Linked DNA regions of Tribolium castaneum. The protein of the gene in region 2 interacts with the protein of the main gene of each other region in a pairwise test. Links are inferred from orthologs where the notes say so. Each region holds a gene or a part of one and is shown on either strand. Other genes may lie near its edges.

The links.
Region 1: the proteins of nmo (region 2) and muc interact in a two-hybrid assay, tested with the Caenorhabditis elegans proteins (2 studies listed by BioGRID, with this or other methods). The link is inferred for Tribolium castaneum from reciprocal best matches to the Caenorhabditis elegans genes lit-1 and dlat-1.

The regions. Positions count from the first base shown.
Region 1 is NC_087399.1:3,915,488-3,919,838, reverse strand, and holds muc (dihydrolipoyllysine-residue acetyltransferase component of pyruvate dehydrogenase complex, mitochondrial), read right to left. Parts: upstream 2,819-4,351; 5' UTR 2,601-2,818; intron 2,528-2,600; 5' UTR 2,525-2,527; coding exon 2,406-2,524; intron 2,278-2,405; coding exon 1,920-2,277; intron 1,870-1,919; coding exon 1,307-1,869; intron 1,260-1,306; coding exon 960-1,259; intron 911-959; coding exon 781-910; 3' UTR 485-780; downstream 1-484. UniProt on the Caenorhabditis elegans protein: The pyruvate dehydrogenase complex catalyzes the overall conversion of pyruvate to acetyl-CoA and CO(2).
Region 2 is NC_087395.1:23,213,824-23,217,643, reverse strand, and holds part of nmo (serine/threonine-protein kinase NLK), read right to left. Parts: intron 2,315-3,820; coding exon 2,185-2,314; intron 2,061-2,184; coding exon 2,005-2,060; intron 1-2,004. UniProt on the Caenorhabditis elegans protein: Has a role in the Wnt signaling pathway controlling the asymmetry of cell divisions during embryogenesis. Operates in the AB and EMS cell lineages influencing cell specification.

The DNA.
Region 1 (4,351 bases), on a different chromosome or scaffold from region 2:
CGAAGTCCATTTTAAAATTTTGCAAAAATTTAAAATAAAAATATGAATTAGGATCATATGAACGCAAGGAGGTCTTTACATTTTTTACCTCTTTGCGTTCCTGTGATCCTGGTCCGAAGTCCGTTTAAAAATTTTGCAAAAATTTAAAATAAAAATGTGTATTAGGATCACAGGAACGCGAGGAGGTCTTTATATTTTTGACCTCTTCCCATTTCTGTGATCCTGGTCCGAAGTACGTTTAAAAATTTTGCAAAAATTTAAAATCGAATGTGTATTAGGATCATAGGAACGCAAGGAGGTCTTTACATTTTTTACCTCTTTGCGTTCATGTGATCCTGGTCCGAAGTCCTTTTTCAAAATTAGCAATTTTTAGCGGCTTTTTTAATTAAAAAAGTCTTTTCTTGGAGTTCGACACCAACCAGCATGGCTTATTGTTTGTGTATTTTTTGTTGGGATTTATTTCAGGAATATTAATAAAACAATCCTATGTACAATTAGTTTATTTATACTTAAATACATAAATACACTTGCTCAACAAAAATTACAACTTTTTATATAAACATCAGCAATGAAAGTGTTCGTGATAACACAATGTGGATGATTACCAGCCCCTCGAACTAGACCTGTGGTGCAAGATCCGCTATAAAACTTATCGTAAATGCAAAAATATACAGATGGAAGATTTCTTCTCTACACCAGCAGGCAACACCTCGTCCACCTCGGAAAAACGGCACGAAAATGTATGATGAAAATGACAAATTTAACAAATATTTCAATAATTTAAAGAATCATCGACTCTGGGTCTTCTAAGAACTGGCGCAACCACTTCAACCACTGCGCCCCGACAGCCCCGTCAACGACTCTGTGATCGCTGCTCAACGTCACCGATATGAACTGGGATTCCTTAAATCTGAAAACAAATATAAACACTTGAAACGTCTCAATCCCCAGCTTCTCACCCTTTCTCCGACTCGTCGGGCACTAATCGCTTGGCAGTGGTACCAACTGCTAAAATACAGCTTTGTGGCGGGTTTATAATGGCACAGAATTGATCAACTCCAAACATTCCCAAATTTGAGACACTTATAGTGCCCCCTTGGTACTCCTGCGGCTGGAGCTTCCCGTCGCGCGCTTTCGCCGCCAACGACTTAACTATTTTATTGATATCAAGGACACCCTTCCCGTCTGCTCCAAAGACTATGGGGGTGATCAGGCCACGGTCAGTGGACACAGCCACACTCACGTCCACTGAAGAGTATCTACAAACACTTACCCAATTTTTCCACCAACAAAACGAAAAACTCACTGTCTTATAACAGAGTCCATCCAGGCCGAGTTCGCCTCCGGCACCTTCTTACAAGCCAGCGCCACCGCCTTAATAATAAAATCATTCACACTCAACTTCACCCCCTCCTTTTCAAACTTCTTATTAAACCGACTCCTCAACTTCAACAACTTATCAACATTGCACTCAATGGTGAGATAATAGTGCGGAACGTTTTGCTTGGACTGCACCAACCGCTTGGCGATGGTGCTGCGCATCCCCGACACGGGGATATCAACATAGGGGGCCCCACTGGGAACATTATCTGAACCTGGGGGCGGCGGCGCCGCCGCCGGCGCCCCGGCCGCCATCCCCTCGAGGTCGGCCGAGGTGACGGACCCAAACAGCCCCGTCCCCTTGCCCTGCAACCGGATGTTGCGTTGCTCGGCTAATCGCTTGGCCATTGGACTGACGTAGACACGGTCGCTTGCCGCGGGCGGTGGCACGGGGGAGGCGGGCACCGGGGGCGGCGTCGGCGCGGCGGCGGGGGCCTCCGGCGCCGGGGTCGCCGCTGGCTTGGGGGGCGCGGCGGCGGCGCCATCGTCCTGTTATCATTGGTAAACAAAGTGGTCAAATATTTGGAAAATCGACTGACCTTGAAGTCTTTGAACGCGGCCACGTCGGCCTCATTTTCCACAATAATACAGACTAGTTTGCCGATGGGGACGTCTTTGGTGCCCGCCGGGACGAGGATTTTCGCAAGGTAGCCCTCCTCGGGGGTCTCGAAGCCCATGGTGGCTTTGTCAGTCTCGATTTCGGCCAAGAGGTCGCCTTCGTTCAAGCGGTCGCCCTCCTTCTTGTCCCAGCTGACGATGGTCCCCAGCTCCATGGTCGGGGACAGGGCCGGGAGGAGGACTTTGGTGTGAGGGGGGTATTCGGTTGCGTAACGCCGGAGGGGGTTCACCGAAGGGCCGTGCCATTGCAGCGCCCTGTTTTCTCTCAGGAGAAGCGATCTGCGATTTGCACAACGTTACATGTGATGGGGCCGACGAAGTGAGGTTATGATTATGTAAACTCGTTTAATAAAAATAGATTAATCTGATTATGTAAAAATTTTGTCGCAATCAAGGTATCTCCTTACCTGTGGTTATTCCGCCTTTTTGTGCATTCTACAGTCAGAGTTCTGACAATATTCGACCGGACAACTTTTCTGAGAGCGCCTTTCGCTAACTCACTTCGTACAACAAACGTGCGCAACATCTTCTGTTATAATAAATTAAAAACGTGATAATATCAATTGATTTTCGTGTTCTCCTGAGAGTAGAGGGCGACTTACTCTGGTTTTGTCTCGTCTAGGTCATTTAAAAGACTTTCACGTCGAAAATCTGTGACTGTGACGTGCTGATCACGTTTTTGACGGCGCCGCCGTGAATCGACAACGTCAAGTCTTATCAACCGGTAAATCAAACAAAAAATCACGTTATGACACAAGTAATGATATAACGGATCGTCATTTATCACACAATCGTCACGGCTGATAAAATTCCCAAGATTTGAATGAATTCCAGTCAAAGAATTATTACAAGCCAGGCAACCAACAATACCACAGTTGACTTTATATCCAATTGACAGCGTCAATGTTGGTGAAGATAGCAACAGAAATGGTGCTGACACAATGAAAATTACAGTCGACCAGACAATCGCTCCGCGCATGGAGCTAGCTTTCTACAGCCAAGTTCACACCAGGAAAATTATCAAAATAAATCATTAGAAAAACATCAATAAGCTGTTACGCTGACCTGCATATCACATTTGTAAAACATCTCCTGACCATTCTAATGTGTTTCTATTACAAATTAAAACTTAACAGCATTTAATTTCTGCATTCCAAAAAGTGGAACTGTTTTAATCCATACCCATGCAAAATGATCCGGGGAATCGATTGGCATCAAAAAAATTACCAAATTCCCAATAGTTTTTTAGTTATGAATTTTTTTAAATTTTACCAATTTTTGCATTTATCAGCAATTTCCTCGAAAACTATTAGTCGAAGAACAATAATCTTTTTTGAAAAAAATAGATAATTTAAAGAGCTTTCCAACGATAATACACTTCATGGGGTTATCTCTAATAGTTCCGGAGCTATTGCTCGAGAAATGTTCCGGGTACCCAAAACCGACAAAAACTGCGACGAAAATTGAAAAACTCAAACATCAAAAAATTGAACATATGGACTTTTTGTGGACTTTTAACAGCTTTTGTGGGTTGTTAAGACATGTAGAAGTCCATAAAAATTTTCTGGAGTTAGTTAAAAAAAAAAAATTTTTTTCACCTCTTTGAAGGTGAGTCTTGTATTACTCAGGAAATTTGAGCAAAAAAATTGAAAATTTTAAATTGCGTGAAAAATTAGTTTAATAAAGAAAAAAAGCCGCTGAATCCAATGGGACAAACCGCACTGCTCTACGACTTTTAGTTTTCGAGTTATGAATTTTTTTATTGAAAAAAATTTTTCACTATGACAAATGGCTAGCCTAAATTTAGGCAAAAAATTTTAAATTTTTAATTCTTGTAAAAAATTGATATAATATGTAAAATGAGCCGTAGAATTCAATGGAACAAACCGCACTGCTCTACGACTTTTAGTTTTTTTTTTATGAATTTTTTTAATGAAAAAAATTTTTCACTATGACAAATGGATACCCTAAATTTAGGCAAAAAATTTTAAATTTTTTATTCTTGTGAAAAATTGATATAATATGTAAAATGAGCCGTAGAATTCAATGGAACAAACCGCAATGCTCTACGACTTTTAGTTTTTTTTTAATGAATTTTTTTAGTGAAAAACTTTGATCGTTTCTGTAGCCGAAACCGTTGCCCGGAGCGGCTCCGGGTTTGGTCGAAAAAAAAGACAAAATTAAGCGCTATCAGATGGTTTTTTGTTTGTTGCTTTAAGTCTTACAGTTTCTGAGAAAAACGCAAAAAAAGGTTTCCATTTTCACTTTTTTTCAATTTTCAACCGCCAATTATGGCGAAACTATTAGAGTTATCGAGAAACGGAAAAATGGAAGACAACTGGAATAAAAAACT
Region 2 (3,820 bases):
TTCGCACAAAATCAGCGTTTGCTGTTAAATACTTTATTTTTCTCTTTATGTGTATAAATAAGGAAGCGTAGTATTTTTTTTTAAATTTGCGTGCCGAAAAATTACAGATTGAACCAAAAATAACGCACAAATTTCATACACAGCTTTGTTACTAAGTCATTTTCCAAAAAAAAAAGCTCGAACAGGTCGATTTTATTTTTTTAAATGTTACATTTAAATAATGTTCACATCGTTCGTTTTTGAGTTGTAACGTCATTCTTAATTTTTTTAATGAAAACCGACGATTTGTTTCCTGTTTTAGAAAGTAGAAACTTTTAGAAGGATAATAACAAAAAAAAAATTAAAAGCAAATAAAATATTGAAAATTAAACATAAAGGGCTTTATCTTGTTGTGCGTGACATATTTTATAAACGGCAATTGTTTTTTATATATTTTTTTGTATTATTAGCATGAACACACTTAGTATAACACCTAAACACAAAAAATAAACGAAAATAAAATAAAGCAAGAACAAGAAGAAGTTCAGTTTCTGTGTGATTTTGGCTGATTTTTTTTTAATTTTTATTTATTAATAATTTCTTTTTTATTTTTTTTAATTATTATCTTTATCTGTAAGTAAAAAATTGCCAAAAATTACCTTTTCGAAAGTATACTTAGGCTTGTAATATTTTTTTTATTTACTTAGAAATCGCGATTTTCTTGGGTGCGCGATAAGGTTGCCTCACCTGGTATTATAGGCAAGTTTGTCTATAATTATAAAGTCACTCTGTACTCATTTTTTTATTTACAACTAATAAGTTACTACAGACGGCAGTAATAATCGTAGTAAAGAACTTATCAAAAAAAAACAAAACGAAATAAATGATTAGTTTAAAAAATCTGATGTAATGGGTGATTTAGCTGAGATTGCACCGTAGTTTGTTCTGTTCAAATATTGAAAACTGAAGGACTTTGTAACAGTTAATTACATTTGACAGTGACACTAAAAAGCAGCCTTTCGTCGTCTTTAACTGAATCACCTTGTACATATTTGAAGCCATTTTTTACATTATTATTATATCGTGAAATTACTTGAACCAGCCTTTGTGCGTTTAGAATTTCATAGAAATTGATAATTGGAATTTTTATCTCAGTACACAAGCAAGCCCAGGAGATAATGCCGCCGCCCTCGTGCAAACCCGCTTCTAGGGTAGACTCCGAGCCGGTTTTAACAATACTTTAGGGCGGAGTGGCACAAAAAGGGCTCTACAATAGCTATCCTACCCTCAAAGACTTCCTCATCCCACGAAAATCAAACAGTGAAATAATTCGCAATAACTGCCAAGCCCAAAAAAATTCAGTTAGTTATCCGACACGAGAGAAAAACAACAAGTCGAACTCGATGTTCCACACGTGTTCAGTGACGTCACACCCTTCTACGGTCGTACCCCACCCTCGGTTACGCCACCCCACACAGCTGGCAGATAACGAAACAAAATAGGTCATTTGAACTTCGTTTGCTTGTTTCAAACACACATTTAAATTTATTCGCGGAACGGAAGCGGTAAAGTTGAAAATAAATTCGAAACGTTAATTATAAATTGTGGCATTATCGCTGCCTGCGACAGATTGACGTTAACTAATAACGCACAAGCGCTCTTTTTTCCTAATCCTTGAGGATTTCAAAGTTTACGTCTATTTCGGTCCCGAACGGATGTGGCTAATGGACGGTGGGACCCAAGTCTGCACATGTTTCTCAAACAGGTGTCTGAATGCAAAAATTGTGTCCTTGGGTGGATTTGTCGCCGCCACTGTCCCTCACATGTAATAATGCATTTAATCTAAATTATGTATCTTGAGTGTGCTAGTGAATGAACCACTGAATTCACTCATTTAATAGCCAATTAAACGCTAACGGAAGTTGTAAATTAAAAACGCAGCATTCAGATGATTTCGACCCCAAAGGTTAACAGTTCCGACGAGGGTTAACTGGTAATATCGCCGTGCGTTAACAAAAAGGATACATTTCCTGGAAGAAGTCTAAGTGAGGCGGTTGGAGGATATCTAAGGCGGAAAGAACCTGAAAAAGATTGAATTTTCGTTAAACATTAAGCGAGTTGAGTGAACTTTTAATTAGGAGAGCACCCTCCAGATAACCGACTTGACACGTGTTGATCTGGACGAACTATGGAGCGATCACTTACGTTTTCGTGTTTGAAAAAGCAGAGCATTTTCAGTTCTCTAAACACTCTTTTCGATGAAACTAACGATGCGAACACATTCGGTAACTTCTTCAGGGCGACCCTCCTGCCGTCGCGGGGATCCGTCACCGCCCTGCAACAAATACGAACCCAGTTAAAAATTTAAAATAGACTCAATAAAAGGAGCATTAACAGCCTCGGTACACACTTGTGCGTTAATTTGGTTTATTTACGCCGGGGCCACCCAGCGAGCTCCTTATAATTAGCAAATTAGTAAAAAAGCTTAATGCGACTTTGCTTTTACATTAAACTCGCGTCCGATAACGAAGGGACATTTTAATTACGGCACTGCAGGCAGTGCCACTTTTCCGGACCTCTGCTTCGCGGCAGGTTCTGGAACAGTGGCCAAATTAAAAGTAGCTTTCAAGCACGTGCTTGCATCTAATGTTGGTCACACTGACCGGAAACCAAATCCTGACAATTGAAATTAGGAGAACAAAGAAATTTCTAGCGGCCTTGAACCTCCCTGTCCAATGCCGACTTGGATATTTACCAAGTTCAACATCCTCACCTCGGAAATGCTAAAAATACTACAATAAAATGAATGTATGCGAGCGCTTTTTGCGTCCAAATAATTGTGCATGCAGTGTTTTTGAACTGATAAAATAGAATAAAACGAACAATAAATTCTCGAGCGACGTAAATCTTCCTAAATGATGAGCAACGGTCAAGTGCTACGCTTGTATTTCAGGATTTTATTACGGAGTTCATAAAGAAGTCGTTGAAATACCTGACCAGTTGTAAATTCAATGTTCGTTGCTGGTTGGTGAACAAAAGAGCTACAGGTAGAAACGGACCTGGTGCTGGCTATGTGGAACACCTGTCCATCCGCCCGCTTTCACCCAAATTTCATAGAGCACTCCACTCAACACTGTCATAAAAGTGGAAAAATGTACCTGAATAGCCCCCATCACAAGACTTCGATTTTGTCAAATTCGAATTTTTTTTATTATAAAACTATAATAAAACCAAACAAGTCCTAACTTTTTACGTGTAAATTTGAATCTTTAGACTGAACAAAGTAACCTTCAAAATTTATATTTTTGTTATGGGTCACTTGTCAAAAAATCCACATTTTTGTTTACTGTTTTTGATAGTGTATACTCTTCTTTTTTTCTGCTAAGTACAAGAAATTCAAAATTTTAAGGAAAAAATCAAGAAAAGAAGAAAATAAAATAAAGTAATAGTAGTTATTTATCCAACGAGTTGGACTGTAAATCGGACGCTTTATTTCACGAATGGATTTTTAAACCACGAGGTGGAATAAAAGAATAGAATAGAACAGAATATATTTTATTTGTGTTAATAACACCAACAAAGTATTTTACAGACCTCCAATTTAATTAATTTGGATTTACATAAGTATTACATAGACAAAATATTATTAAAACAATTCTGAAGATATTCGTCAATCGAATAAAAAGTTTTGGAAATTAAATAATACTTAAGTTTTTAATAAAAACATATGAAGGAAAAAACTATAATGTCGGGCTTTTAAACAAAAAAAAAAAAAATAGAAAAAACGATTGATACAAAGCAGTTAAATACAACATTTTACTATTAATTTTAGTCAAATCAG